Linked DNA regions of Xenopus tropicalis. The protein of the gene in region 1 purifies or fractionates together with the protein of each later gene. This does not show direct contact. Links are inferred from orthologs where the notes say so. Each region holds a gene or a part of one and is shown in the gene's direction. Other genes may lie near its edges.

Evidence for each region.
Region 2: the proteins of cdk19 (region 1) and med8 purify together in Homo sapiens (affinity purification with mass spectrometry; 6 studies listed by BioGRID and IntAct, counting the BioPlex papers as one, with this or other methods). This does not show direct contact. The link is inferred for Xenopus tropicalis from reciprocal best matches to the Homo sapiens genes CDK19 and MED8.
Region 3: the proteins of cdk19 (region 1) and med24 purify together in Homo sapiens (affinity purification with mass spectrometry; 6 studies listed by BioGRID and IntAct, counting the BioPlex papers as one, with this or other methods). This does not show direct contact. The link is inferred for Xenopus tropicalis from reciprocal best matches to the Homo sapiens genes CDK19 and MED24.
Region 4: the proteins of cdk19 (region 1) and med16 purify together in Homo sapiens (affinity purification with mass spectrometry; 6 studies listed by BioGRID and IntAct, counting the BioPlex papers as one, with this or other methods). This does not show direct contact. The link is inferred for Xenopus tropicalis from reciprocal best matches to the Homo sapiens genes CDK19 and MED16.
Region 5: the proteins of cdk19 (region 1) and med7 purify together in Homo sapiens (affinity purification with mass spectrometry; 5 studies listed by BioGRID and IntAct, counting the BioPlex papers as one, with this or other methods). This does not show direct contact. The link is inferred for Xenopus tropicalis from reciprocal best matches to the Homo sapiens genes CDK19 and MED7.
Region 6: the proteins of cdk19 (region 1) and med13l purify together in Homo sapiens (affinity purification with mass spectrometry; 5 studies listed by BioGRID and IntAct, counting the BioPlex papers as one, with this or other methods). This does not show direct contact. The link is inferred for Xenopus tropicalis from reciprocal best matches to the Homo sapiens genes CDK19 and MED13L.
Region 7: the proteins of cdk19 (region 1) and med20 purify together in Homo sapiens (affinity purification with mass spectrometry; 5 studies listed by BioGRID and IntAct, counting the BioPlex papers as one, with this or other methods). This does not show direct contact. The link is inferred for Xenopus tropicalis from reciprocal best matches to the Homo sapiens genes CDK19 and MED20.

Annotation. Positions count from the first base shown.
Region 1 is NC_030681.2:77,212,074-77,216,251, forward strand, and holds the start of cdk19 (cyclin-dependent kinase 19), read left to right. Parts: upstream 1-1,378; 5' UTR 1,379-1,502; coding exon 1,503-1,630; intron 1,631-1,642; exon of another isoform or gene 1,643-1,823; intron 1,824-2,188; exon of another isoform or gene 2,189-2,562; intron 2,563-4,178.
Region 2 is NC_030680.2:88,535,262-88,539,411, reverse strand, and holds the start of med8 (mediator of RNA polymerase II transcription subunit 8), read left to right. Parts: upstream 1-1,350; 5' UTR 1,351-1,409; coding exon 1,410-1,415; intron 1,416-4,150. Other genes in the region: KICSTOR complex protein SZT2, read right to left, coding at 1,174-1,197. UniProt on the Homo sapiens protein: Component of the Mediator complex, a coactivator involved in the regulated transcription of nearly all RNA polymerase II-dependent genes.
Region 3 is NC_030678.2:112,529,724-112,533,223, reverse strand, and holds part of med24 (mediator of RNA polymerase II transcription subunit 24), read left to right. Parts: intron 1-223; coding exon 224-366; intron 367-3,500. UniProt on the Homo sapiens protein: Component of the Mediator complex, a coactivator involved in the regulated transcription of nearly all RNA polymerase II-dependent genes.
Region 4 is NC_030677.2:100,791,844-100,796,033, forward strand, and holds the start of med16 (mediator of RNA polymerase II transcription subunit 16), read left to right. Parts: upstream 1-1,390; 5' UTR 1,391-1,702; coding exon 1,703-1,838; intron 1,839-3,405; coding exon 3,406-3,513; intron 3,514-3,701; coding exon 3,702-3,871; intron 3,872-4,066; coding exon 4,067-4,190. UniProt on the Homo sapiens protein: Component of the Mediator complex, a coactivator involved in the regulated transcription of nearly all RNA polymerase II-dependent genes.
Region 5 is NC_030679.2:14,184,281-14,187,358, forward strand, and holds med7 (mediator of RNA polymerase II transcription subunit 7), read left to right. Parts: upstream 1-1,210; 5' UTR 1,211-1,241; coding exon 1,242-1,931; 3' UTR 1,932-2,578; downstream 2,579-3,078. UniProt on the Homo sapiens protein: Component of the Mediator complex, a coactivator involved in the regulated transcription of nearly all RNA polymerase II-dependent genes.
Region 6 is NC_030677.2:145,341,029-145,345,299, forward strand, and holds the start of med13l (mediator of RNA polymerase II transcription subunit 13-like), read left to right. Parts: upstream 1-1,471; 5' UTR 1,472-1,671; coding exon 1,672-1,743; intron 1,744-4,271. UniProt on the Homo sapiens protein: Component of the Mediator complex, a coactivator involved in the regulated transcription of nearly all RNA polymerase II-dependent genes.
Region 7 is NC_030678.2:70,770,635-70,774,134, forward strand, and holds part of med20 (mediator of RNA polymerase II transcription subunit 20), read left to right. Parts: intron 1-879; coding exon 880-1,133; intron 1,134-3,500. UniProt on the Homo sapiens protein: Component of the Mediator complex, a coactivator involved in the regulated transcription of nearly all RNA polymerase II-dependent genes.

The DNA of each region.
Region 1 (4,178 bases):
GGGGGAGGGGGAAAGGGCCAGTTGTGTGGAGAAGATGTGGTCTGGGGATAGGCAGGGTGAGTGGGTGAGTGGGTCCTCTAGCTCCTCCAGGGGAAGCTCCCCTTCTTCGAATTCTATCACGCTGTGGTCCCTCTGCAGTAAGCCAGATGAGGGCCCAGCGTTGATGTGGCAGTGGCAAAAAGGGGTCCCGGGCTAGGGGGTATGGTGGGGGAAGGGACTGCAACTGGTGTAGGGGCAAGGGAATGCAGTGGGGGTGCTGACTTCCACTGTGGGGGCCTGTGTGTGGCCCGCCTAGCCTTATCACTGGCTGGGGGCTTTTGTCTTTGAGAAGCATTGGTGGCAGTGGCTGTGACCGCCATAGGTGCCTGGGCCGCAGTCCTGACCTCTGCACGCTGCCTCCTCGAGACTACAGTCGGGGGTTGGGAGGCAGCGGCAGAGGACGTGCGCCTGGATGCGCGTGGGGGACTGGGGCTCAGGCGAGAGGGAGGGCGGGAGCGGCGAGCCGGCCGCTTCCCAGCACTGCCGGCTGCCTGTCCCCCCTGTCTCTGTTCAGTGCTGATGGGGCCAAGTAGCTGTTGTAGCCAGTCGGCTCCATCAGAAGCAATTTTTGCCTGCACCTGCTCCAGTAGTTCCTCGCTCATGCTGGGGTCTGGTGGGGGCTGATGGACACAGGCAGCAGCAGCAGTTGGAGCAGCTAGGATGCCGCTTGGTGGAATCCAGAAGCAGAGTGGCAGCAGCAGCACGGGAATGCAGGCACAGAGGAGGGAGGAGGAGCGAGCAAGGGGGGGCTGCCCTTTCCTGACTGCACTAGCTGGTGAGTTAACCCCTTACAAGCACGGAGGGAACTGGGCCACAGCTGGCTCCACAGTCCCTCCGCGCTTTCATTATTTATTTCAGTGCTCTCTATTCTAGTTGGCAAAGTTTGCAGTGTCATCTATTAGTACTGGCCAGCATTAGGCATGGTTGAATTCCCTGCTACCTGAACAAGGCATTTTTTGCCATGTATTTTAGTTCTATGGATAATGTCTGACTAGTACACTGAAAAAAACACTATTTCAAAGATAAATGTGTTTATAATTGATTGTGTGATTTGGCGCGCATTTATTAACATGAAGGCACTGCATCGCCAGCAATGAAGTAATGAATGAAGTGATAGGCTTTCCCCCTGCCAGTTGTTTGTGCCCAGGAACCCTCCGCTCAGAGTACAGGCCCGGTAAGAAGTGACGCCTCTCAGGCGGGCAGCTTCCACAATTTGGCAGCACCACGGCAGAGCGGGCAGCTGCTGGAAGTGAAATTGAAAGTAAAGATAGAGGGCGCTCTTCCCGCTAAAGTACATGGCATGCGTCTATGTGCAAAGAAGAAGAAAAACAAGGAAATGGTGGAGGGAGAGCCTGGCACTTATTCCATGTAACGACCGGCAGTAGCCAACGGACAGCAAAGGGTTGGGGCGATAGCTGAGCCTTGATGGGTTAAATACGCCCTCGCTCCAGCCGTGGAGGAGGATGGATTACGAATTTAAGAGCAAGCTGTCCGCCGAGCGGGAGAAAGTGGAGGAGCTGTTTGAATATGAAGGTTGCAAAGTGGGTCGAGGCACCTACGGGCATGTTTACAAAGCTAAGAGGAAAGATGGGTAAGAGGCACTAAAGGGAGGGGCGTGTGGGAGGGAGGTGTGTGTTAGGTCACTGTTCATACCTGTGTGCGGACCACCTAGAGCATCGCGCAGTCCTGTGCTTGAGCAGCAAACGCACCTCTCTAGGTGCACACATACCTGCGTGGGTTCCGTACAGTAGAATGCATGTGCTTGCTGCTATTGTGTCTATGAGGTAATTATTGTGTTCACTCATGTCTGTCACAGCCTTGTGTTTGTTATACCAGCAGCACTGCATATACACGTAACCCCCGGACAACGAGGAAAGCCGGAGATGCTGCATTTCTTGTCATGTTAGGAAGTTATTGATGGGGATATTGTGCTAGTTATGTGCTGTTACTGTGTATTTGTAGCTCCCTCCTCCTCCTCTGCACACGCCCGGGATGCTGAACTTGTGCTGGGGGAGGAGGGGGAGGGAGTCTGAGCTACAAATGTTTATGTTGGGGTAATCCAGCCTTGTGGTCCCACCTACTCCGCTGTTCCTCCTCTTCAGTGTTTGCCATAGCACCATGTGTCAATATTTTCTCCCTCGTCTTGCAGATTACCCATTTCTATGGCATTTTCCCTCTCTTTAAAGAGCCAGTCCTGATCAGTAAGGATGCCAGCCCTTTACTGAGGAGACAGTTACCCGCTGGGATTCGTGAAGGGCAGCGGTAGGGCCACAAGTTGAACATCACTGGAGGCTGAGCTGTGTGTATGAAAAGGGCAATTACACATGATATGAAGTGACTGCTTATACTTCAGGCTTAACTAAGGAATAAATAAATGCGTTGTTCTCTAAACTCAGCATAGTAAGACTTTTAATAAAGTTGAAATGATGCTTTGCTTGATTTCATTCAGGTTAAAACATTTGTGATGGCACCTATGTGATTTTTCTGGGATATTTGCTAAATAAACACACGTTCTTTAAAACATTGGCATGTTTGTGTATGTGCAAGATTTTATAATCGCCTCCATGTTTGATGTTTTAGTTGCAGTCTTATACTAATGGCTGTAAGAACTTTGAATTATTTATCAGACAGACATTATTTAGCCCATCTAGCATGAAGTTTTTTTTTAATTCTCAGGACTAAGAATCAATAAAAAAAGCTTTTAAAAAGATGCAATCCTTTGTCAACCCTTTTTTTTTTTAACTCTTGGTTCTGGCCCTTTAGTTATCCTCCAGGGAAGGTGCTAATTCTCACAGTGCTTTGCTCACTTCTTCATAGGTAGAACTACTGGTTTAATGGTGGGTTGCTGGACTGGCAATTTGTACATTCTGCTTAACACCAGAGGGACTGTAAGATGCCCATAGACAGTCACTATTGGGCCTGTGGGTGGCTGTTTGGGCGTCTTAAGTACTTGAAATGCCAGGGTCTGTTTTGTCTTGCAGCCCATACCTGGGCCAGGTTTAGGCTAAATAATACAGATTGGGGACTTATAAGGTATTATATTAGGTTAAAAAAATCCATTAGTTCTGTAGCAGTGACATCACATTACATTGCAAATAGTGCATTGTCTGTTTCTTTTTCTACTGTTTTTTTTCCACAAGAAAAAAATATTCCCCTTTCTGTACCTGTGCACCCTCCATATTATTTCTGTGTTTTTGCTGGAACATTTTGTACAATTCCATGTCCCATTGTTTAACTCACATCCTGCATTAGATTTCCAGCCCATGCATAAATGTCACTCTTTGTATAATGAGTAAGCTTAAATGTTTTCCTGTAACTATTCATTTTTAATTATTATTAATTATTTTATTCTCTGCCCCCTTAGCTAAAGGTAAATGTTCAAAGATTATAACTAGTCAAACTCTTCTGTCTTTACTTTTCTCATTCCCACTGGTGATGGTTTGGAGGCGAGGATCATCTCTCAGGGGCAACTTGGGGCAATTTGATACTCAATGTAAGCTTGTAGTTCCTTGCCTCTTGTACATGCCTTAACATCTAATAGCCCATTTGCTGAGATGCTCACTGAGACAACTTGTGACCATCATAAATAACCCTGCTTATTTTTAAATCTAAGTAATGTAATATTTAGATATTCTTGAAGAATTCCCCAAGTACAGAAATACTTAGTAATAAATTATCTGTTCCACTGTCCTGTCCTTTGTTTACCTCCCATGAATCCTTGTCAATTCTTTGTTTAGTAGTAGTTGGGCAGGTTTGTGGTACATTACCATTAGGGCCATGACAGACGGGGAGATAAGTTGCTGCACGACAAATCTCCCTTGTCGCGGGCGACTAATCTCCCCGATATGCCATCCCACCAGTTAGGGTGACTAATCTTCCGGTCTGTCATGACCTTTAATTACATAAAAAATGGCCCTCGAGCCAATAAAATCTCTTAAAAAACTGGGACCCATGTAACTTTTGGTTACTCTGCTATGTTTGTGTAAACTGTCTGCTGGCTCTTACCTTTGCTAGTATATTTAAATTGTCACGTTGGTGACTAATACATCATTTTCTAATCTTGTAATCTTATCTGTAGCACTTCCTTTCATTGGAGGATGTTTTGAAATATTTTATTTGCTTGTAGAACTGTTCACTTC
Region 2 (4,150 bases), on another chromosome or scaffold:
TTTTGAGGGTAAAACCATACTCCATTTATCTATTCATACGTAGGAATATTTGAACTTCTGAATGCCATTCTAAAAGTGATCATACACACGTGGATGTCTCCCTTTGGAAATCACGTGGAAATCTCCCTTGTCACGGGCGACTAATCTCCCCGATATGCCATCCCACTGGCTAGAACGTAAATCACCGGTGGGATGGCACACGCGGTGCAGCGATTTGCCAAAATTGTTGAAGTTGCATTGAGAGGAAACTTCGCTGATTTTGGCGCCGCATATGCCATCCCATCAGCGATTTACATTCTAGCCAGTGGGAAGGCATATCGGGGAGATTTGTCATGCAGCGACTAATCTCCCCGTCTGTCACAGCCCTTAAACTGCAGATTTAGGCCCTTCAGACTGATTCGGCAGCTCAGCCATGGGGCCTTCCATTGGGCCTACCCAACTGATATCTCCCAGAAAATCCACCAGACATTGATAGTCAGGTTTGATTCAAGGACTGCGTCAGCTGATTGCCTGTGGCCAATCAACTGGATTAGCCCAATATCACTCACCTTAGCTGGGCATATTGGGGGAAAGATACGCTGGTTTGACAACCTTGGCAAACAAGCAGATTTTATGGCGTATAGCCGGCTTTACTTTGATTTCCACAGCAAAAAAAAATGATCAAATGTTGGTAAAATGCTTCCACATGAGTTGTATATATAAACATGCATGTGTTATCTGCCTTAGTATTTGCATGACACAATACAGATATTTCATTAAGAGCATAGGAAGTTCGGCAAAACATCCATTTGGTTCATAAGAAACTTAAGGGTCGCACATCTCAAGTGGGGACAAATTGCCTGCTCCAAGAGCAAGCAGAAGCCACACAACAGGATGTCCTGAGACAACATATGACTGATTTCTCCAAACTACAATAAAAACTCTGCTTTTCTCGGAACAGCAGCTCTATGCATGTTCCCATAGCTTGGTGCAGTGACTTATAGTGTAACTGCTAGCAAGCCACAGTTTAATAATCCCTAGGATGTTCGGAATCAGCCAAAGGGGGCTTACTCAGGTACAGACGTGTAATGTGTGGCCGTCACTTTAAGGAAGGAGTGGCTACAACAGACCGGCTACAAATAGCGGCGTATACTTTCGCATGTACTTAATATGTACACAATCCCCTCTTTGTACCTCTGTATCTCCTTTTTCTGCCATGTCCCCAGAAGTTTCCCCCCACCCCTGTCTTCGGGTCTGGGGGGCGGATAGGCATTCGAGACTGGAGTACACAAGTCCTACCCCCTCTGACCCGGAATTACTCTTTTTTTTCCAGAGGCGAGCTCTTACCCGGAAGTGCTCCGTCTGAACGTGGAAGAAGTGACCGGAATCTTTATAGCCCTAAGGAGAGGGATTTGGCGGAAAACGTGAAAATGCAGGTAAGATTGACATAAGACGTGTTTCATTAATGTTTATGTTAGTGCAAAGGCGGAGTGGAATTGTTTTCGCTAATTTGTATGTAAATATTTAGTAGCTGTTCTTATCAAATAACGCTACTCCGTCCGTAAAGTAGACCTTTTGTGTCTGCAATGAGTAGTACAACTGACATTTAGGGGCTGATTTACTAACCCACGAATTCGAATCCGAATTGGAAAAATTCCGATTGGAAAACGAACATTTTGCAACTTTTTCGTATTTTTTGCGGTTTTTTTCGGCGCCTTTACGACTTTTCGGAAATTGTCGCGACTTTTTCGTTACCAATACGATTTGCGAGTTTTTCGTAGCCATTACGATGCGCTCGTATCTTGTCGCGACTTTTTCGTATTGAGCGCTCGGAAGCGGCGGCCGAAACTTTCAGACTTAGCATGATTTTGGAAGCCTCCCATAGGACTCAATGGCTCCCTGCAGCTCCAATCTGGCCCATACTGAAGCTTGAATGAATCCGAACGCTACGAAAAAATCGCAACATTTTGCGCAACTTTCGGAATGGCTACAAAAAAAGCGCGACTTTTCGCGTAAGTTTTAACGCTACGAAAAAATCGCCAGATTTTGCGCAACATTCGGAATGGCAATGAAAAAGTTGCGATAATTTTCCGAAAAATCGCCAAATACCGATCATTACGAAAAAAACGCAATCGGACGCATTCGGCCCGTTCATGGGAAAGTAAATGTGCCCCTTAGTATTTTACAGAAAGATATAGTCTGTTATTTGGTGGAGAAGGCAGTGATCCTGAAATTACATTTGAAATCCAGTCACTTATCAAATCATGTCACTTTCACCTAAGAAATAGTTCCAAAATACAATCATTGATCACCCAAGATGCTGCCAAAATTCTTATTCACTCTCTTATAATATCTCGCCTGGACTACTGGAACTCTCTGCTAATTTCACTAAATTCACTCTGTTCTTTTGCAATTCCACTGTAGAACTACAAATCTATGGCAGCTATTTAAAAATGCACTAACAATCCAACTGATGCAACACCTTCTCCTGCTTATAATAATTTAAAAAAAAAACCTTAGATCCTTTCTACACTCCTGTTGCTTTCAATAATTAAGAGTGCAAACTACCATATAATATTCTTTTTGGATGGGTGCTTCACAGCTTAAACATTTGCCAGAGGTTAAAAAAGGCATAAAAACAAAGGTTAAAAAAAGGTTTATTCATACGAAAAAGATATGGTCCCCATGAACTACATGGACTGAAAGCCAACACATTCAACAATTCAACTAGACTTAAAAATGGACAATCCCAGAAAATAAACCCAGACATCAGGCTCAGAACAAAAGGAAAAATAAATTTATAATAATGATTAGGCGAGAGTCCAACCTTATCCTCCTCCCACCCCCTATACTGCTGTTATGAATTGGACCCATTTCTTTGTTACTCTCCCAGTTCTCATGCAATTTCACTGTCAAATTTGCAGCAGACCTATGGTAGATATGGAAATGTGTACATATTCTTTCTCTTAGTCTGCTCATTTCTACTTCTTCTAACAGAAATTTATCACTAACAGCATCAAACTGACATCTAATTTCATTCAGTTTAATTTTCACTTCTCTTTTTCTTCTGACATGCTGACTGCTGTTACCTATACAGGTATGGGACCCATTATCCAGAATGCTTGGGACCTGGGGTTTTCCGGATAGGGGGTCTTTCCGTAATTTGAATCTCCTACCTTAAGTCTACTAAAAAAATTATTTAAACAGTAATTAAACCCAGTAGGATTGTTTTGCCTCCAATACGGATTAATTATATCTTAGTTGGAATCAAGTAAAAGGTACAGTTTGTTTTATTACAGAGAAAAAGGAATTATGTGAATTATTTGATTACAATGTAGTCTATGGGAGATGGGCTTTCCATAATTCTGAACTTTCTGGATAATGGGTTTCTGGATAAGGGTCCGATACCTGTACCAACAATCTATTACATTGTTGCGCTTCAGTACTTTTCGCATTGGGCCATCAACTATTTGAGTCAGTCCACCAAATTTCACTTAAGGTCTGTGTCAGAAGTTGCCATTAATTTGCACCAAATATTGCAAAATTGCACAAATTAATTTTCCTGCTCTGCTGCTTTCCATTACTTATAACAATAACCAATCACATGGACAATCTTTAATACTACTGCTGCCATTAAGCTTACATCCTTCTGCAAAGTTAGTGGTAGACATATGGCAGCTTACATAAGAAGTTCTTAATTATGATTAATATGGACAGTAAAACTGCCATAAACATTTTTTGCAATTGCATCTTCTTTTCTGCTGATTCCCAGCACATGTGCTGCTGTCCATTACTGAGTTTAGATGCTGACTCAATATTCTGTATATAGAGAATATAAATGTCAAGATATAAGGGTAATAGTAATACCCTTATATTACTACATGGCAGCTCTGAAACCAGTGCAGCTAACAACAGAATTTAATAATCAGCCCTGCAGGCAAGTTTGCACAACTTCAAAAAAAACAAAGCAATGCATAGGCCTTTCCACCAGCAATTCACTTTATTGCTGGTGGAAAGGCTTTTTGGGCAGATTAGTTGCAGTAGCAGAGATTTATCGCGGATGACTAATCTCCCCGTGGGCCAATAACCTTAGGATGAAGGCCCACGGGGAGATTAGTTGCCTGAGGTTAAATCTCCTGCAGGAAACTTCATGCAACTTTGGAAAATTAAG
Region 3 (3,500 bases), on another chromosome or scaffold:
TAGCAGTTTGCCATATGGGGGTCGTGCAGTATTTGCGGCCAGCAAATGCATATATGATGCCCAGCTGCTCATTTTCTTATCTGAGGGTAACCACAGATTCAGTCTTTATCACTTTTATTTTATATGTAATCCAGGTCAGGTTTCCTTATTATAAGTGATAGCTGCTATGCCTTTATTACATATTAATCCTCCTACTCTGTTGTGATGATCTTATATTTCACAGACAATGGATGCTGACCATTCAAAGTCTCCAGAGGGTCTTCTGGGAGTCTTGGGTCATATGCTGTCTGGCAAGAGCCTGGACTTGCTATTGGCCGCAGCGGCAGCCACTGGGAAACTGAAGTCTTTTGCCCGCAAATTCATACAGTAAGTTTTAAAATAACATTTTGAAGGCAGTTGAAGTGTTTGTGTCAATATGGAAAAGCTATAGGTGTTTATTCTGTGCAGTCGGTACATAAATACTTTTGACTCCGACTCGTCAGTTCATGGTACCTTCAACTATTTTTTTTTTTTTTTTTTTTTTTTCAAAGGTGTTTATTTTGCATTTGTAACATAAAACAACATAAAACATTTGGCATTGGTTCTACAAGCGTGTTCTTTTCATGCCAGAATGTAAACAGTACATTGGGTTAGATAATCACCTTCGACTATTTTTAAAGGGATTCTGTCATGATTTTTATGGTGTACTTTTTATTTCTAAATGACACTGTTTACATAGCAAATAATTCAGATACGTACTGGGAGCTGCTATCTTGCTCCCTTCCGATCGGCTGCTGATCGGCTGCTGGGGGTGGGATATCACTTCAACTTGCAGCGCAGCAATAAAGTGTCCCTAAGTCTGAGCTTTCAGAAGCGCTACACATTTGAACTGCTTTCAGGTAACTTGTTGTTTCTCCTACTGCCATGTAACTGGAGGAGTCCCAAGCCAGACTTGGATTTCTTACTATTGAGTGCTATTCTGATACCTACTGGGAGCTGCTATCTTGCTCCCTTCCCATTGTTCTCTTGATTGGCTGCTGGGAGGGGGGAGATATCACTCCAACTTGCAGCGCCACAGTGAAGTGTGACTGAAGGTTATAAGAGCACAGGTCACATGGCACCCTGGGAAATGAAGAATATGGCTAGCCCCATGTGAAATTTCAAAATTAGAATCCATGTTAGATCTGTTTGTGTTTTTGAAAAATGGATTCAATGCAGGATTTTGCTGGAGAATCTCCTTTAACTGATGGGTTTTGTAACAAATATGTTTCCCCGTGATAGTATTCCTTTAATATACTAATGCAGGGATCTTCAAGCTTTTTAAACAGGGGGCCAGTTCATTTTCCCTTAGACTGTTGGGTTGCTGGACTATAGTTTGAATTTTTTTTTTAAAAAACCACAAACGAATTGCCATGCACACTGCACATATCTTATTTGTAGTGCAAAAAAACATGAAAGGGCAATACAATATTTAAAATGAAAAACAATTTTAACAAACATAGACTTCAATGGGAAGCATGGACCTGGTTTTGGCTGATGAGATAGTCCGGTTCCATGTTTCTCACTGCCAGTCATAACAAGTGATGCAAGTGTTCATCCGTTAGTCTGGATCTGGTTGGCGATTTCAGATGTTTCATTCTGGAAAAAGTCTGTTCACAGACATAGATGCTGCCAAAGATGGTTGTCATTATGAGTGAATGATTCCTGAGATTAAGATATGTCTCAGAGGGGAGAAATGCATAGAAATTGTAAGGCTGCTTGATTTCAATACGTCTTTCAGAGAGTCACAATTCTGTAGTTCGGCCAGTTTCATTTGGTAAATCGGATTAACAATTTCAATGTCAATTGAAAATGGGTTCTGTAAAAGCTGTATGTTAAAACTCCCTTTGCAACATTTTCCAGTGAATCCACACATTTTTTGTTTGGGTATGGTTTCTTATGGTTTCTCAGCTTTTGCGTAGTGGGGTGATGGCAGAAGTTTTCCTCCTTTACTTGTTTTAATAAGGAGGTCCAATTTTACTTCAGATGTTTTCACATGTGAATGTATATCACAGATGAGCTTCCCCTTTCCTTGAAGTTGCACATTGAAACTGTTGAGTAGCGCTGTTACATCTGTCAGAAAGGCAAGGTGCCACTTCCATTCTGCATCTGGTACAGAAAAGCAGAAACCCGTGGAAGTAAGGCATAAAAACATTTCAAAACTCTCCCTCGATGCACATTTCTGCGCGGTACATAATATCTTCATAGGCAACATTCAGCTCAGAGAGAAATTCCTGAAGCTGTTTGTGGTTTACGGCACGAGCCCTAATGAAATTAACACAGTACACCACAACTTTATGAGTTGCACTTCAGTGATCACAGTAAATCACAGCGCTTGTTGATGGATGAGGCAGGATATCACTATTGGACGCGAATGGTTGTGTTTGTCCATCTCTTGGTCATAGACCCCACCATGCTAGGAACACCATCAGTTGTCTCACTGGCTAGTTTAGCCCAGTCCAGCTCCAAATCATTCACAGTTTGGTGAACCTTTCATAGATATCCTATATGTCGAGTTTCGTAGTGTCAACGCAAATTCATTCTTTGAACACAGCCACTGAATCCTGGCATACCAGACAAACCGCTCTCTCCTTGCACTGCATGAAAAAGTAATCGTAGGTCCACTGTTCTTTGAACATCCTGCACCTGGAGTCAGTTTTTCTTTTACTTGACATAATTGTTTCCTAGGGATGCACAATGGCTATTACTACTTTGGGATGGGTGCGCGTAGCTATCACGTCTGCTGCTGGCCTGTGTGTCTGGGTACTGGGTGGTAATGAATCCACACACTTTTTGTTGGTGCTGTGGCATTTAAAATTGACTCTTGGACATTTAGTGCTCAGCATTTTCAAACAGCAATGGTCTAACAAACGAGTGTACCCACACTGGCAGGGATTTGCCATAACTTAAAGGAAAAGTAACACTAAAATTTTTTAACTAAAAAAATCTATTCTACCCTCCCCCAATAATTGCCCTATCCTGAAAACCATTTGTGATTTTGAATGCTTTAGTAGAAAATACCTGTAAAAAAAACTTGGCTTCCTGTCATTTGAACAAAGGCGATACGGCGATGCCGGGGAAAGTATCAGGAGATGCATGAACTATGCGGTGATCGATTGATCGATCCTAGCCTGACTTCTGTATAGGAAGGAGTCAGGCTAGGCTCGATCAGTCGATCACTGCATAGTTCATGCATCTCCTGATACTTTCCCCGGCATTGCCGTATCGCCTTTGTTCAAATGACAGGAAGCAGAGTTTAACAGGTATTTTCTTCTAAAGCATTCAAAATCACAAATGGTTTTCAGGATAGGGCAATTATTGGGGGAGGGTAGAATAGATTTTTTAGTTAAAAATTTTTTAGTGTTACTTTTCCTTTAATGAGGGGAGTGTTGGATCATTTTGTGCTCTCTCCACTAGGCCACTGAGTGCTGCAGGGCCAAATGTTTAAAACTGCCCTGTGAACTCTTGCCTTTATGCCATAC
Region 4 (4,190 bases), on another chromosome or scaffold:
ATGGTCTGCTCAATATCTCCATTGACTTCTTTGTAGATACACTGTGTATCTCATCCCACAACAAGTGGGATGAGACACAGTGAAATCTCACTTTTACATTCCCTGATTTTGCCATATTTCACATTTCCACAATCATTTTTTGGAGGGGTCTGGCGCACACAGGTACCTGGCCACCACCCTGGCAAATATTAAGCAGCGGGCACCCTTAACTTTATCAATGAGAGTGACTATAGAGCAGGGGTGGGCAAACTTTTTGGGTCAGGGGCCACATTGACTAACAGACGGGCCGGACCGGGCCGGGACAGCGTTACGCCCGGGGCTGCCATCAAAAATTATGGGGCCTCTCAGCTCCCCCCCAGCATCCTTCATGACCTGCGGCTCCCTCCGCCAGCGACCCGCTGCTTCCTCCGTCCCGTCCTTCTGTTCCCCGGCTCCCCAGTGCATTCTTTTATATGGTTGCGCCCCGTGTGTGCTGACGCTATGCGCATGCATGGGGCGCAACCAATCAGGGCCCGTCATTCTTTTAAGGGGGCCGGAGACAGCGGGCCATAGTTTGCCCACCCCTGCTATAGAGGAACCAGACCCTATGGTCCAGGCTGCCCCTGGTGCCCCCCCCCCAACCATGGTGTCTGCTTCCTCTATAGTTACACCACTGACTGTAGGAAGAAACCATCTTCACAGCATAATAAAGGGGGGAACTAAAGATTTTTAGTTTTTAAATCATAATCCTGTGTGTGTGTAAATCTATATATATATATATATATATATATATACACAAACACACACACTGTTCACAAATACACATTTTTTATTAGATGAGTGGAGAATATATATATATTAAATTAAAATAGTCCCAAATTACATTTATTTCCAAAGTAAAGTGTGAGCAAAATGTAAATGTAAAAATAGAAAGGTTTATTACTCAACGATTGGGTCTCACACAGAAGCCTTCATCTGGAGTGAAAAACAAACTAAATACATATATATATATATAAATATACATGGTTTGTTTTTCACTCCAATATCCATTTGATAAGATAAGTGCAAAATATGGAACGCTTCACGAATTTGCGTGTCATCCTTGCGCAGGGGCCATGCTAATCTTCTCTGTATCGTTCCAATTTTAGTATATGTGCTGCCGAAGCGAGCACAAACATACCTTAGCGCCGGTTCTTATTTAAAGCCCCTAGCTTTTGATTCGGTTATATTGGAGTGACAATTTTGTATGTCTATATGTATATTTACACCGAGCAGCAATAAATATTACTTGATATTGTTTTATTTACTGGGTACATGAAAAACAGAAGAGAAAGATTGAATTTATAGCTGCAATTTAGGCATTTGCCACGATGCACGCCGGGAGAGGTCGGCATGCTAATCTAAGGATGACGCCATCGGAAAGCGACATTGAGACGCTTATTCCGTGAGACGCACTAATGTAGCCGGGAACTTTCATTACTGGTTTTACGTAGAACCTTGTTATCCTACGGGATTCTGGAACCAGCAGTAACCAGAGCAGTTTAGTAGCAAATCCCCTACGCAAGGTTCTAGCATATTTTCGCTTTTTGACGCTTCTTGTCGTCCGCCTTCGTTTCTTATAGCTGCAGTCAGTCAGTCCATTCCCAATGTAAGCCATTGTGTTTCTGTTCCCCCGATCTGTAGCCCTTCTCCCATAGTTAGTAGGTGCGTGTTTGCTGTCAGCATGGATGTGGGGTACGTATGTGAGTGGGACAAAAGACCACGGACCAGTCACTGCCCATCAATCCCACTAGTTTGCGCTTGGTCTTGCCGCAATCTTATTGCTTTCACTACAGATCAGCGCAATGAGGAGGAGAAAGGTAACATCTTTTTGTTATTACAGCACCGCTCTGTGAGTGTGATTATATGTGTGTGTATTTCTATTATTTAGTAACTGTTATATGTCTACTTTTCTCTCTCTATCTATAATGCATAAAACAATTAAAAGACAAACCAAAATGAGTCTTACCCAGTGTTGGACTGGATACCAGGAGAACTCATGGTGGGCCCAGGTGTCAGTCTCCTGCTCCTGATCATTTGGCCTGTTTCATGGTCATTCCCTATTTCTGAATGGGAAGAAAGTCAAGAATTAGATGGAAGAATAGATGCTATGTAAATAAAAGAGACTTGGAGAATAAAGTGGTTGGGTGGGGAAGGAGGACAAATAATTTGGAAAGTGGGTCTAAGGTTTTCTTGTGGGTCCCTGGGTTCCCAGTCCAAAGCTGGTCTTACCAAAGAGCTTGGATTGCTTGGATTACATTTTTATATTACCATGTTTAAAATGAACTAGGTTAGTATATTAAGGGTATTTGGGTCACTAGAATGCATAGAATGCAGATAGATGCATAGACGCAGATAAAAAATTAAAGCATCTGAATCTATAGGCATACACATTACGGTTAGGCAATGCCTTTTACATTACATTAACATTTATTTATAAAGCGCCAACATATTCTGCAGCGATGTACAATAAGTGGGTTACATACATTGGACATACAGAGTAACATATAAAGCAATCAATAACCGATACAAGAGGTGAAGAGGGCCCTGCCCAAAAGAGCTTACAATCTACAAGGAGAAAGGGTTGAGACACAATGCCTTGCACCAATATAAAAATAGAAAGTATTGCTTGTAGTGGAAGCGTGGCAGCTTGAGACCTAGGTGCACAAATTCAGACCCAGGAATGTGTTACTGCAATAAATTCTACTTTTTATTTAATGTCATTCTGTGCCACTTTGTATTGTGGGGAAAAAAAATTCTGCACCTTACCCCCCCTTAGTAAATAATCCCTGCCAGCAGGCTCAGACTGCCAGTCTGTGGGTTCTGGCAAATGCCAGAGGGACTGCTGAAAGATGCCATAGACAGTGACTGTGTAGTAGAGCGCTAGTTGGGGGCTATTTGAGCTTTTGTGTGCTGAAAATGCTAGGGCCTATTTTAAATCTCAGTCCAGAGCTGCCTACTAGAATGTTAAGTGAAGAAGTGTGTATTCTCTCACAATAGTTGGGTCGTGTGAGCTGTAAGAAAAGTGCTTGTTACTGAAAAAATGCTAAACAATTGGCTGTAGTTAGCCCTCCTTCCCACCCCCATTCATTTACCTTATGAAATTTACATTGAAGTGCAAAGAGTTCATCTGTCTTCTATTATCTTTCTAAAAAGTTCAACTGTACTCAAAATCAGGCGTTTTACAATGCACAAATTTAAGTATATATTTTATGCTCTCATTGAATATATTCTTATTCGTTAAAGCAAGTATAATTTGACCATGGAGAGTTGCAACATTGCATAATTCTCACCAGATTGTTTGTTTTCCAGGGTTTTGATAAATTAAAAAGTGTTTTTACAGGAATATGGATAAATCTGAAATAACTTGATTTTTTTTCTTCTCAGATATCACTAATTTGATCCATATCCTCGACACAGAACATCCGTGGGATGTCTACTCTATTAACTCTGGGCACCAGGAAGTTATTACCAGCTTGGAGTGGGACCAATCTGGTACAGTAAAACAAATTGCTGGGCTTTTTGATAATAAACAAGAAAACCATATAACTTAAAAGGGAAGGGCAGAGAGCAAAGGGAAATATGAAGAAACAAGATAAATGTGGGAAGCAGAAAATGAATCCTTGAAGGGACATAGACAGTAGTGTTTGTAACTGTTGCTTTGGTTTTATTGGTATTTTTAGGTTCCCGCCTGCTCTCAGCTGATGCAGATGGTCGAATCAAATGCTGGGGAATGACTGATCACTTAGCAAACAGCTGGCAGAGTCTTGTAGGCAGCGAAGTGGATGGAGATCCCATAGTAGCTCTGTCTTGGTTGCACAATGGAGTCAAACTTGCTCTCCATGTTGAGAAGGTGGGTGAGATAACAATGAATATTTACATTAGTATTTATATTTAGTTGTTTGTATGCTCTTTTCTTTCACTTCACTTCACTTTGCTTATCCTTTTTGTTGTTAAGCAGAGACCATTATTTCTTTTGTCCCCTAACCATTATTTCCCTTTAAGTAGGCATTTACCACCCTTAATACTGATCTTTTTTCTCCTGCAGTCTGGTGTTTCCAGTTTTGGAGAAAAGTTCTCACGCGTGAAGTTTTCCCCATCTCTTACTTTGTTTGGTGGAAAGCCAATGGAGGGTTGGATTGCAGTCACAGTCAGTGGTTTAGTTACAGTGT
Region 5 (3,078 bases), on another chromosome or scaffold:
ATAAAAAGTCACACACATAATGAGTCTTTATATAATACAAAATGCCTAACCCCGCCCACATTGAGCAGAGCCCCAACCCCAAATTGTGAATTAAAGAAAACACATCAGTACAATTAATTAATTGTAATAGTGTTTATTAATTGTACTGATATGTTTTCTTTAATTCACAATTTGTGTATTTTATTACATTAACATTTATTTATAAAGCGCCAACATATTCCGCAGCGCTGTACAATAAGTGGGTTACATACATTGGACATACAGAGTAACATATAAAGCAATCAATAACCAATACAAGAGGTGAAGAGAGCCCTGCCCAAAAGAGCTTACAATCTACAAGGAGAAAGGGTTGAGACACAAGGTGTGGGAATGGGCATGGCCAGAGTTGTGAGAGGTGTGGCACAGGGTATTGCTAAACTAGATTAGGGTAAGCCTCTCTAAATAAGTGTGTTTTTAGAGATCTCTTGAAGGCAGAGAGATTGGGAGAAAGTCTGACAGTTTGTGGGAGCGAATTCCAGAGAAGGGGGGCAGCCCTTGCAAAGTCTTGAATGCGAGCGTGTGAGGAGGGAATGAGAGAGGAGTTGAGGAGCAGGTCAGTATGTGCTATACAGGATACCTCGTTTCGTACGATAATCGGTGCGTGTATGGCATGTCGGCGAGTCGACCGATATCGCAGGAATCTGCTGATATCGGCCGACTCGCCGATCGGACCAGTTTGAAAATTTTGATCGGGCGCCATAGAAGGCGCCTGACCAAAATTCTCCCTTCAGAGCTGAATCGGCAGAAGGAGGTAAAAATCCTATTGTTTCTACCTTCTTACCTGCCGATTCAGCCTTGAAAGGTGTGTGGCGGATCTGACAATGTTTCGTGCGACCGATGGTCGTACGAAACATCGTCAGATCGCCACGTGTATGGCCAGCTTAAGGGTTGTGAAATGGGGTTGGGGCTATGCTCAATGTGGGCGGGGTTAGGCATTTTGTATTATATAAAGACTCATTATGTGTGTGACTTTTTATGGCTTAACATCTTGATAAAGGTCCTAGACCTGGACCGAAACGTTGATGTTTTTAACTTTATAATGTAACAATAAATGAACTAAAAAAATACAGGAGTGCGCATCATCAATTGGAATGCATATATATATATATATGTGCTGCACACACAGGGATTTATATTGTTATTTGTATGTAACTGAATGGGCTTTTTCTTTCTGTGTCACAGGTTCTCCTACTCACTTCATAATGGGGGAGCCTCAGCAGGTCAGCGCTTTGCCTATACCTCCCATGCAGTACATTAAGGAGTACACAGATGAAAACATCCGCAAGGGCCTGGCCCCCAAGCCTCCCCTCCCCATAAAGGACAGCTACATGATGTTTGGCAACCAGTTTCAGTGTGATGACCTTATTATCCGCCCTCTGGAAACTCAGGGCATCGAGAGGCTCCACCCCATGCAGTTCGACCATAAGAAGGAGCTGAGGAAGCTCCTTATGTCCATCCTGGTCAACTTTCTGGATATGTTGGACATCCTGATCCGAAGCCCAGGCAGCATCCGAAGGGAGGAGAAACTGGAGGACCTAAAGTTGTTATTTGTTCACATGCACCACCTTATTAATGAGTACAGGCCCCACCAGGCACGTGAGACCCTGCGGGTGATGATGGAGGTGCAGAAACGTCAGCGGCTGGAAACGGCAGAGAGGTTCCAGAAACATCTAGAGCGAGTGGTGGAGATGATCCAGAACTGTCTGGCATCGCTACCCAATGACCTCCCTCTTTCTGATGGCGCAGTCAGTGTAAAAACTGAACCAATGGATGTTCGGGAACCCTGTACGGACCATCATGCGGGGCCCCAGGAGGCAGCAGCAGCTTCTCTGAAAGAGACCACAATTGATAAGGATGCAGCTATGTGTGTTATCATCGATGAAATGACCTAGTCCAATAAGCAGTTCTAATCAGGACTCTTGAACTTTAGAAGTCACAAGGATTCATTGAAATGCAATAGCATGGCTCTATGTGTTGGTTGTATTCATCATGGGACTTGGCAAGGAAAATGTTTGTCCCAAGGGAACTCAGTCACAGCTATTGCTCATGTACATGTCTGTTTATTGTGCTTTTCTGCCATGCTTTTGAAAAGGCAGTATGCAAGAAGGCTAATATTTTTCAGTGTTTTCCCTGCCAGTTCATGTGTATGAGGAATGGAAGGTTGTAGTTCTGCAACACCTGGGTGGTAACTGCTTATTTGTGATTAAACAGACAAAGGACTGGGGTCAGACTTTTGAATGTTATCTAACTGATATACTATGTATGGAATCTACTCATTGCAAGTTATGTTTGTACAGTTATTCACATGTTCTGAGATATCAAAGTTTATTTAAAAGTTAATATTACAATTGTTTGTATCTTTTTCTCTCTGAATTGGAATATTTTAGTCTCAGATTGGTTTGGAGCATGAAAATCCCAAAATGGGTGCTGTTATCTGTTATAGGAGAAGTCCATATTTTGAAATGCTCGCCTTTACAGTTTATCATGTTTATTTACTTTAATATTTGTATTACTGCATTATAGTTTTAACCCTCTGTCACTTCTAGCATCTTTCCTATTAATTATCCACCTCCATTAAGGATGCTGTGTGCATTCACATTACATGCAAGCTTTCTATCTCCCCTGTGTCAGCCTTTGTGACAAAGCAAGGGTTAAATGACTGTGCTTAGGTTGGGATCAAATTCATGAATGGTAGCAATGAATATACATTTTATCATGATAGGAGGATGCTATGCTGCACTGTAAATAACAACACACTGTGAGCACTAAGGTGCAGGGACAAGAGCTGCTATACAGAAACAAAAACATGAGTACCAGGATCTGTGCATTTACAACATTCCATCCTCATTCTGATTGGTAGAATGGATATGTTTAAGTAAGCTCCACCCTGCAGTCTACAGATGCTGGCCAAAATATTTGGAAGGTAAACTTGTTGGCTGCCCCAGCCAGTTGTTATTTTCAGAAGGGTGGTGCTGTGGGCACCTAGGCCTTATTTCCTAAGGAGGTTGGTGAGATTACAGGAATCCCCATCAGTTGCAG
Region 6 (4,271 bases), on another chromosome or scaffold:
GGAACAGAATGGGTGGGTAGTGCTTGTATTGAACACCAGGTCCTTTCAAAAAAACACAAGGTCTAGGACTGCCACTGTCAGAAAGGTTTGAACCATAAAAAGATGGTTCAGGAATTCCAGTAGAGTACAAGAAGATTTCTACAAGTACATAGTTGATGGTTTCAGAGACTGCAGAGATAAACTGGATGAGCATTGTTAGACTTTGCAAGGAGGTGCTCATTGTTTACAGGGGTTTATGAACCTCATTACCCTGTTAAATAATAATAAAAAAATATATATTTTTACTTAATGCGCCCGATTGTGCTTAAAAATGGTAACCCCGGTATTTTTCATCAATGTCCCATATTGTGCAGAAAATAATGTTCATATAAAAGGCAGAAAAGATGGGACAGCAATATATAAATAGATACCATCAGTAGCCAAGTAAATGCATGGCAAAGATCCCAATTCTAATTACAAGTAAAAAAGACTGCAAGGGAACATGATCGATTAGCGCAGTACAACAGGTACTCCAGATTCCATTGCACAATAGCGAAACGGATAACAATAATATAGTACAATAACCCTGCTGATTGTACTACTAATAGGCTGTATGTTCTCGCCCAGGATTCCCATACACACAGCGCCCTCGCCTGGCGTCGCACGGAACATTCGGGCAGAGGCCTGCTGTAGACACAGGGCTCGATTTGCCTCCCCCTCCTCGCCACGTGACCGGCTCCTGCCAATCGGGCTCCGTGTTGTCGCAACCGGACGCCATTGCTGCTGTCAGAGAGGCGAACCTACGGTCAGTGTGTGAGGCACAGGAGAGCGGCGGGATAGCCCGTGCCCGAGTCAGCTGTGAAGCCGGTGGGACAGGGAACCTTCCGAAGCCCTAGTGACTTCTGCGCAGGATTAGACCAGGGCCTTACAGCACAGGCTGCGCGGCATTCACCACGGAAGAGGACAAGGATCCCGCGGCCTCCTTCTGTGACCGAGAACCGTACATCTGTCGCTTCGTCCAGATATCCGTGCGGCGGGCATCTGAGCAGGGGGGCATCGCTGGCCACACAGGCGCCTCAATGACAGACGCTTGCGGGTTCTCATGTGACTGACATGGAAACGTGTCCTGTGCCATGAGTGGCACCAGTGGGGGCTCCTGTATCTGGCACCACCAGGATCCCATTGGCTAAGGATTGGTACCTGCGGGGCCCTAACTACCCATTGCCCGCTTGGCTCCTGGGCCTGTGCCCAGCACTGTGGGCGCCCATGCATACATTTGAGTGAGTGGGAGCCGGTGTCGGGGTATTGACGCCGCCAGTGACAAGCCTGCAGTATTGGATGTCGGTATCCTGGCACTGGGCGGCCTGGCTGCTGGACTTGCACTGCATTCCCTGACAAGCAGGGGGAGGCCGCACTGTTTCCTTCCTCTCTTATCCCCCGGCCCGGAGCGCCCCTCCCCCACCCGGGTGACTCATTGCTCTGCGCCGCCGGACTATCAGGAAAGTCAGGGTTTTCCTCGGCACCCTCGGGGTTTCCCGGGACATGGCCATAGTCACCGGAGCTTAGTTCTACTCGCAGCCCAACTGCGGATCTTGCGTGGATCGGACACTGCCTGCTCTCTTTCTGATCGGAAGCCCCTCATTTGAGACCTTTAGTCATGCTCAGCTTTGGTAGCCAGGCTCCCGGTGGATCATGACTGCGGCGGCTAACTGGGCGGCCAACGGGGCGAGCCTGGAGGACTGTCACTCTAACCTCTTCTCATTGGTAAATGCCATTTATTTCCCCTTTAAACGGCTCCACATCCTGAAGCCCTCCAGTTGTTGTTAAGCAGCACTTAGGCGCTGGAAGTTGTAGTTCAAGGACAGCTGGGGGGGGCTCAGGGTAGACACCCCAAGGGCCTTCCTGCTCTGAACACTGCCAATGGCTTCTAACTGCTGAATTGTCTCTCTCTGTCCTTGTCATATTGGTGATGTCATCTGGCTATTACATCTGGCTATTACATAGCCCTAGGAATATGCTCTCCACATGGGTTGCACCAGACATCTCTTTATTCTGTTTGTGGACCACTTCCACTTTGTGTCTGGAGGATGCTTGCTTTTGGTTTAGCCTTCCCATTGGCAGCAAAAACAGAATCTTTTGTCATCAAAGTATCTCTTTGATTGTAGTATTTTCCTACTCATCTTTACTTATAATAACTGCTATTTACACTGTTTACGTTGTTGATATGAATTGCTAGATTATTCAATATGTATATGTTTATTGAGACATGAGTGTCATTAAAATTCTGGATGAAAAGCTGCAGCTTCCATGAAAATGTCTATGAAGATTCTCATTCATCCAGGTCATGATATACAGTATCTAGTAGAATTAAGTCTAAAACAACTGGACTTTTCTGAGTTTTTCTTGAAAACGTTTCACCGCTCATCCAAGTGGCTTCTTCAGTTCAAATGACTGAAGAAGCCACTTGGATGAGTGGTGATACGTTTTCAAGAAAAACTCAGAAAAGTCCAGTTGTTTTAGACTTAATTCTACTAGATACTGTATTCCATGAAAATGTTGTGTTTTTGTTAGGGTATTAAAGTGTTTCCTGGTTTTGTTTGTTTGTAAGACCTGTTGTAGTTAGTCCTTCAATTTAGTGCATTTTATTGCTGACAATGTTTCATATTATACATTTCATTTGGTTTTTGCAAGTTTTCAGATTACAGTCCATTGGTAAAGACACTTTTAAGAATAGTTGTTATTGAAACTTTCAGAATATTTATCCTGAGCTTTAGTTGGTTGATTCTTTATGGAGGCCTGGTGAGATATACGAGGATGTGCTTTCTATTGGTAGTTTTATTTTTGCCCAGATTGATTTGCCTTGTATGTACTTGTTTCTTTAAAGGACATGTCCAGCCCCAAAATATTTTTGCCTAGTAAAAGAAAACATAATTCAAAGCAACTTTGCAATGTATATTCATTACAAGTTTGTAATGGTTTTTGAATTGTTTGTATATAGAATTGCTATTAAAGCAGTGTTTGCCAGTCCTTTTCTATTCTCTGCCCTGGAGCTCTGGCATTTGAAACAATTTAACACAAGCCAGCAGACTGACAGACCTGCCTTGCTGGAGCAGACTGGCTTTTGCAACATTGTTTAAAAAATAACAACCAGGAGTTCAGCAAATGCTAAAAAATGTAAAAAATTTTTAGAAACTTATTGGAAAGTTGGTTCTAATTATGTTTTGTTTTATTAAGCAAAACATTATTTTGCATGTCCTTTAAGTACACAAATGTCTGTTTATACCAGTGACAAAAAAATTAATGTTATTCAGTCAAAGAACTGAACTTTGTGTAACAGAAGAGCTGTCAGTCCAAATTATAGCTGCATGAAACATTACATTATAGTTACCAGTCTGGAGTTTTGAGTAGCACTTTTTTGTAGGCTATCACTTTGTCATCATCTTAGTTTTATTGATTTATATGTACTGCTTCTTTTTATAGTGGTCTTAAGTACATTACAAAGCAAAGAGGAGGCTGTTAACCTGCTTAAATGATTGTGCATTGTGGAAGGAAACACATGTGGGCATGTTGTTCTGTGTCTATGTGCTGTTCAATGAAGCCAGGTTGGCTCTATTGGCAACAATTTCCCAGGGGACATTTGGGGGCAGAGACGAACACCAAATGCAAGGCTGAAGTCACTAGTGGTATTTTCTCCAATGATGCAAAACAATGCTGCTGGATGTCTCTAGCGCAGACTGGCAATGACAATAATGTTAACTGACTGTCGCTGTGCACGCAGGGAAGTTTTTGTGTAGAAATCCGCACTGTATATGTAGTGACAGCCAGTTGCCATTTAAGTCTATTTCAGTCTGCACTAGATGAACCAGATATTTCTCCACTTTACAGAGATTTGCTGGAGGAGAAAATGGTGTGTGTGGAATTAGCTTAACTGTCCTTGATCAGATATTTTAGTTTACTTTGTTATTCTTTGTACTGTCTGTGGGAAAATGGACTTATGTTGGATACTGTTGTATTTGACCACAAACATTTTTCTATGTGCATAAAGGACCCACACATATACAGCTGTCATTTTTTTTGCAGTGAAGCTTTGAGCAATAATATTTTGTACTTCCCACTCCTACCCCTCAAACTTTTTTTGTTAACCTGTGAGATCATGTAAGTGTTTGTATCAGCACTAGCCCATGTGCACCATCATTTGGGAGGCTCCCATAAGTCAGTGTGATATGTTAGCTGTCTGTGGGAAATAGATAACACTTAATACACCAAACTGCACATTAATCAGACAGTCATTT
Region 7 (3,500 bases), on another chromosome or scaffold:
ATTCTAATTTTTAAAAATGATCTCCTTTTTCTCTGTAATAATAAAACAGTACCTTGTACTTAATCCCAACTAAGATATACTGTAATTAATCCTTATTGGAGGCAAAAAAGTCTATTGGGATTATTCAATATTTAAATAATTTTTAGCAGACTTAAGTTTTGGAGATCCAAATTACGGAAAGATCCCTTATCCGGAAAACCCCAGGTCCTGAGCATTCTGGATAACATGTCCCATACCTGTATAAGGTTTGGCAAGATTGAACTATGTGGAATATGTTTTAAACATTTTGCAGGGAAAATATGTTAGCTATCCCTATGTTCTGGATGGAGCCATCTAGCCCCACCATTCCAAAACGCTTACTTCAAATGATCGTGTCATGTCACCTGTGAAAATACTACACGTTACTGTAGTCTGGGCTATCAAACAAGTCCATCATGTGTGAAATAATGTTCCCACATCTCAAATTTCTGCAGTGAATAGGAATAAATGCAATAAGTATGGTAAACATGTAAAAGGCTCTGTTTGGCCTAGATCAGAATCATTTTATGAAAGTTGGATTGTTTGATTAAAGGGATATTGTAAAAGGAACTTGTATGTATGGTCTGTTTGAAAATGATAAAGTTATCCTGGTTAAAATAGCATTGTTTTAGAGAAAGTAATTTTTGATAGAGCACACAAATTCCATATAGATATATGCTTGGTTCTGGAATACTTACATTTTGTAATATAGTAGAGATACAATTTAATGTTCTTTTATATGCTCTCTGTCTCTGTTCATTTCTTCATTTGTAGGCAACCTTTCACAGTTCTCATCCAAAATTGCCATGTTGTATATTCCTAAATTAAAGAGTATTTGCATTTATATGCTCTAAATTTCAGGTCAGGCTGGGAAGCTCCTCTATGTTATGCACAATTCAGAGTACCCTCTCAGTACATTTGCATTATTTGAGAATGGTCCATGTCTAGTTGCTGACCTAAACCTGGATGTGCTTATGGTAAAGCTTAAGGGATTCTTCCAGAATGCGAAAGCCAACAAGATGGAAACACGTGGCACGCGTTACCAGTACTGTGACTTCTTAGTCAAGATTGGCACGGTAACAGTGGGACAGAGTGGTCGTGGAATCACTGTAGAGGTAAATATGTGACAAGACACCTAGATATTTTCAATATTAATGAACAGCACTTCATATTATGATATTTTTATGCATAATAAATATAGAATAGTATAAGAAAATGATCCTTAAATCCTTGATTCTGTCACGATTTTGATGGTGTACTTTTTATTTCCAAATGACTGGTTTACATAGCAAATAATTCACTCTACTATTTAAAATTGTATTCTTCAAAGAACAAATGTATTTTAGTTGTCATATTGATGTGTAGGCAGCCATGTCAGTGCATGTTCCTGCGATGAGCTTTAAGAAGGAGCCAGCGCTACACATTAGACCTGCTTTCAGGTAACCTAATGTTTCTCCTACTTCCATGTAATTGGAGGAGCTTGAACTACAGAAGTCATGAGCCAGACTTTTTTCACTATTGAGTGCTATTCTATCTGCCACTTTTAGCAATACAGGTGTCAGGGAGCTGTTTACTTGCTAACTTCCCATTGTTCTGCTGATCACCTGCAGCTCTGATATAAACTGATCATATTTTAAGAGTAGAAGCCATCACTTGGATACTGGGGTTAGGTTTGTGCTTTCAAATTGCGCAGAAGATGATTGCAGGTTTGCATTTGCAAAACTATCCAGCATTCCCTTCTTTTGTCATGACATAACGATCACATGCAAGCACAGGAGATGGTCATGTTTTGTGGGTTAGCGGACAGTGCATATGCAGATCCAAGATGGCAGCTGTGTTCTTGAAGGGAAAAAAACATGGAAAAAATGGGTTTTGCAAGAGGCATGGGTGAACATTAAGTTGGGAAAGTATGGGTTTGGGTACCTTCCTTATCCTTGTACCAATGCGCAAAGTAAAGAATGTTTTCAATATAGTTAGCCAGAACACTACTTTCTCCTTTACAGCTCTCTAAGCTGTTAGCAGTCAGTAACCAATCAGCAACTTTAGGGAGGGCCATATGGGACATAATGGTTCTGTTAATTTTTTTTTTTTTTTTTAACATTGTTGTTTAAACATTTGTTTATTTACATTTTTTCAGACATTTCTATTTACAACATTTGTAATGGTATTTCACTTTGCTTACATATGTCTTTTAAGCAATAAAGTGTTTGGGACATTTTTAGGTTAGAGAGCTGAAAGCAGGAAGTAGTGTTCTGTCTATTATGTTAGACATCTGCTCACTTTAGCCTAACTATATTAGAAATATTTTTTATTTAATGGTCTATTTTACCCAGTTTCATTTTCACACTGAACTGTGCTTTGAGGGGATTATGTAATAAAAGTCAGTAAGTTTTCCTAGGAGCAATAACCCTTAGCAACCAATCAGCAGGTAGCATTTACTGGTTACCTAGTCTAAGGGTGAAGACACACGGAGCTACTAGTAGCAGGTACTTGTCGTGGCTACTAAAATGCTGATCATTTACTACATGTATTTTAATTTCACAGTATTGCCTATGGCAGGGTATTTTCTGGTGTTTAGAAGCCATGGAAAGTAGCTGCTGCTAAGTAGCTCCATGTGTCTTCACCCTTAAGGAAACATCTTATTGGCTGCTGTTAGTTAGTGTTTGCTTCTTTACAAACTTAGTGCCTTTTATTATAAATGCTGGTTAGAGCCAAAAGATTTTTTATTAGTGCATATGAATTTTCTCGGGTGCTGACTCTGCTTCGACTAACTGCTTGTGTATTATGTGAAGTAAGACCCCCTAAATGTACAGAGACCCACAGAAAACCATATATTCCTGGAAAGTACATATTCTGATGGATCTAACATGGTTAAAGAGGCCTTTCTACACCAAAGTACTAATCTGTAAAGCTTTTCTAAAGTTAGCATTTTTCTGACAAAAGAAAATCACCCCAAATATGAATATCAGAGGTCTACTGAACAGTTTGAGGCCAATATGCATAGATTTACCAAATTATGAGGTGTACAGAGGAACCCAAATGAAAATATGCACATGAATTTTCTCAGCTACCAACTCAGTTTCTGAAAATAAGATCCCCTGTTGCGTATTATGTGTTGTAGACCCCCTAAATGTACAGCGACCCCTGAAAATATCCAGCATGGGTAAAGAGTCCTTCCTACACCAAAAAATGTTGCAATTTGTCACATTTATCTCACACAGTTTCTTGCATACAAAGGCAAATCACCCCAAATATGACTAAATATAACACACACCAGAGGTCTACTGAACAGTTTGATGCCCAATATGCATAGATATACCAAAGTCTGTGGTATGTACGGACCCCAAAATGAATAGTGCGTATGGATTTATCACCTGCCAGCAACAGAGCACCCTGACAGTGTATTATGTGCCATAAGACCCGCTAACTGTACAGAGACCCCCAGAAAACCATATGTTTTTGGAAAAGACACATTCTGATGA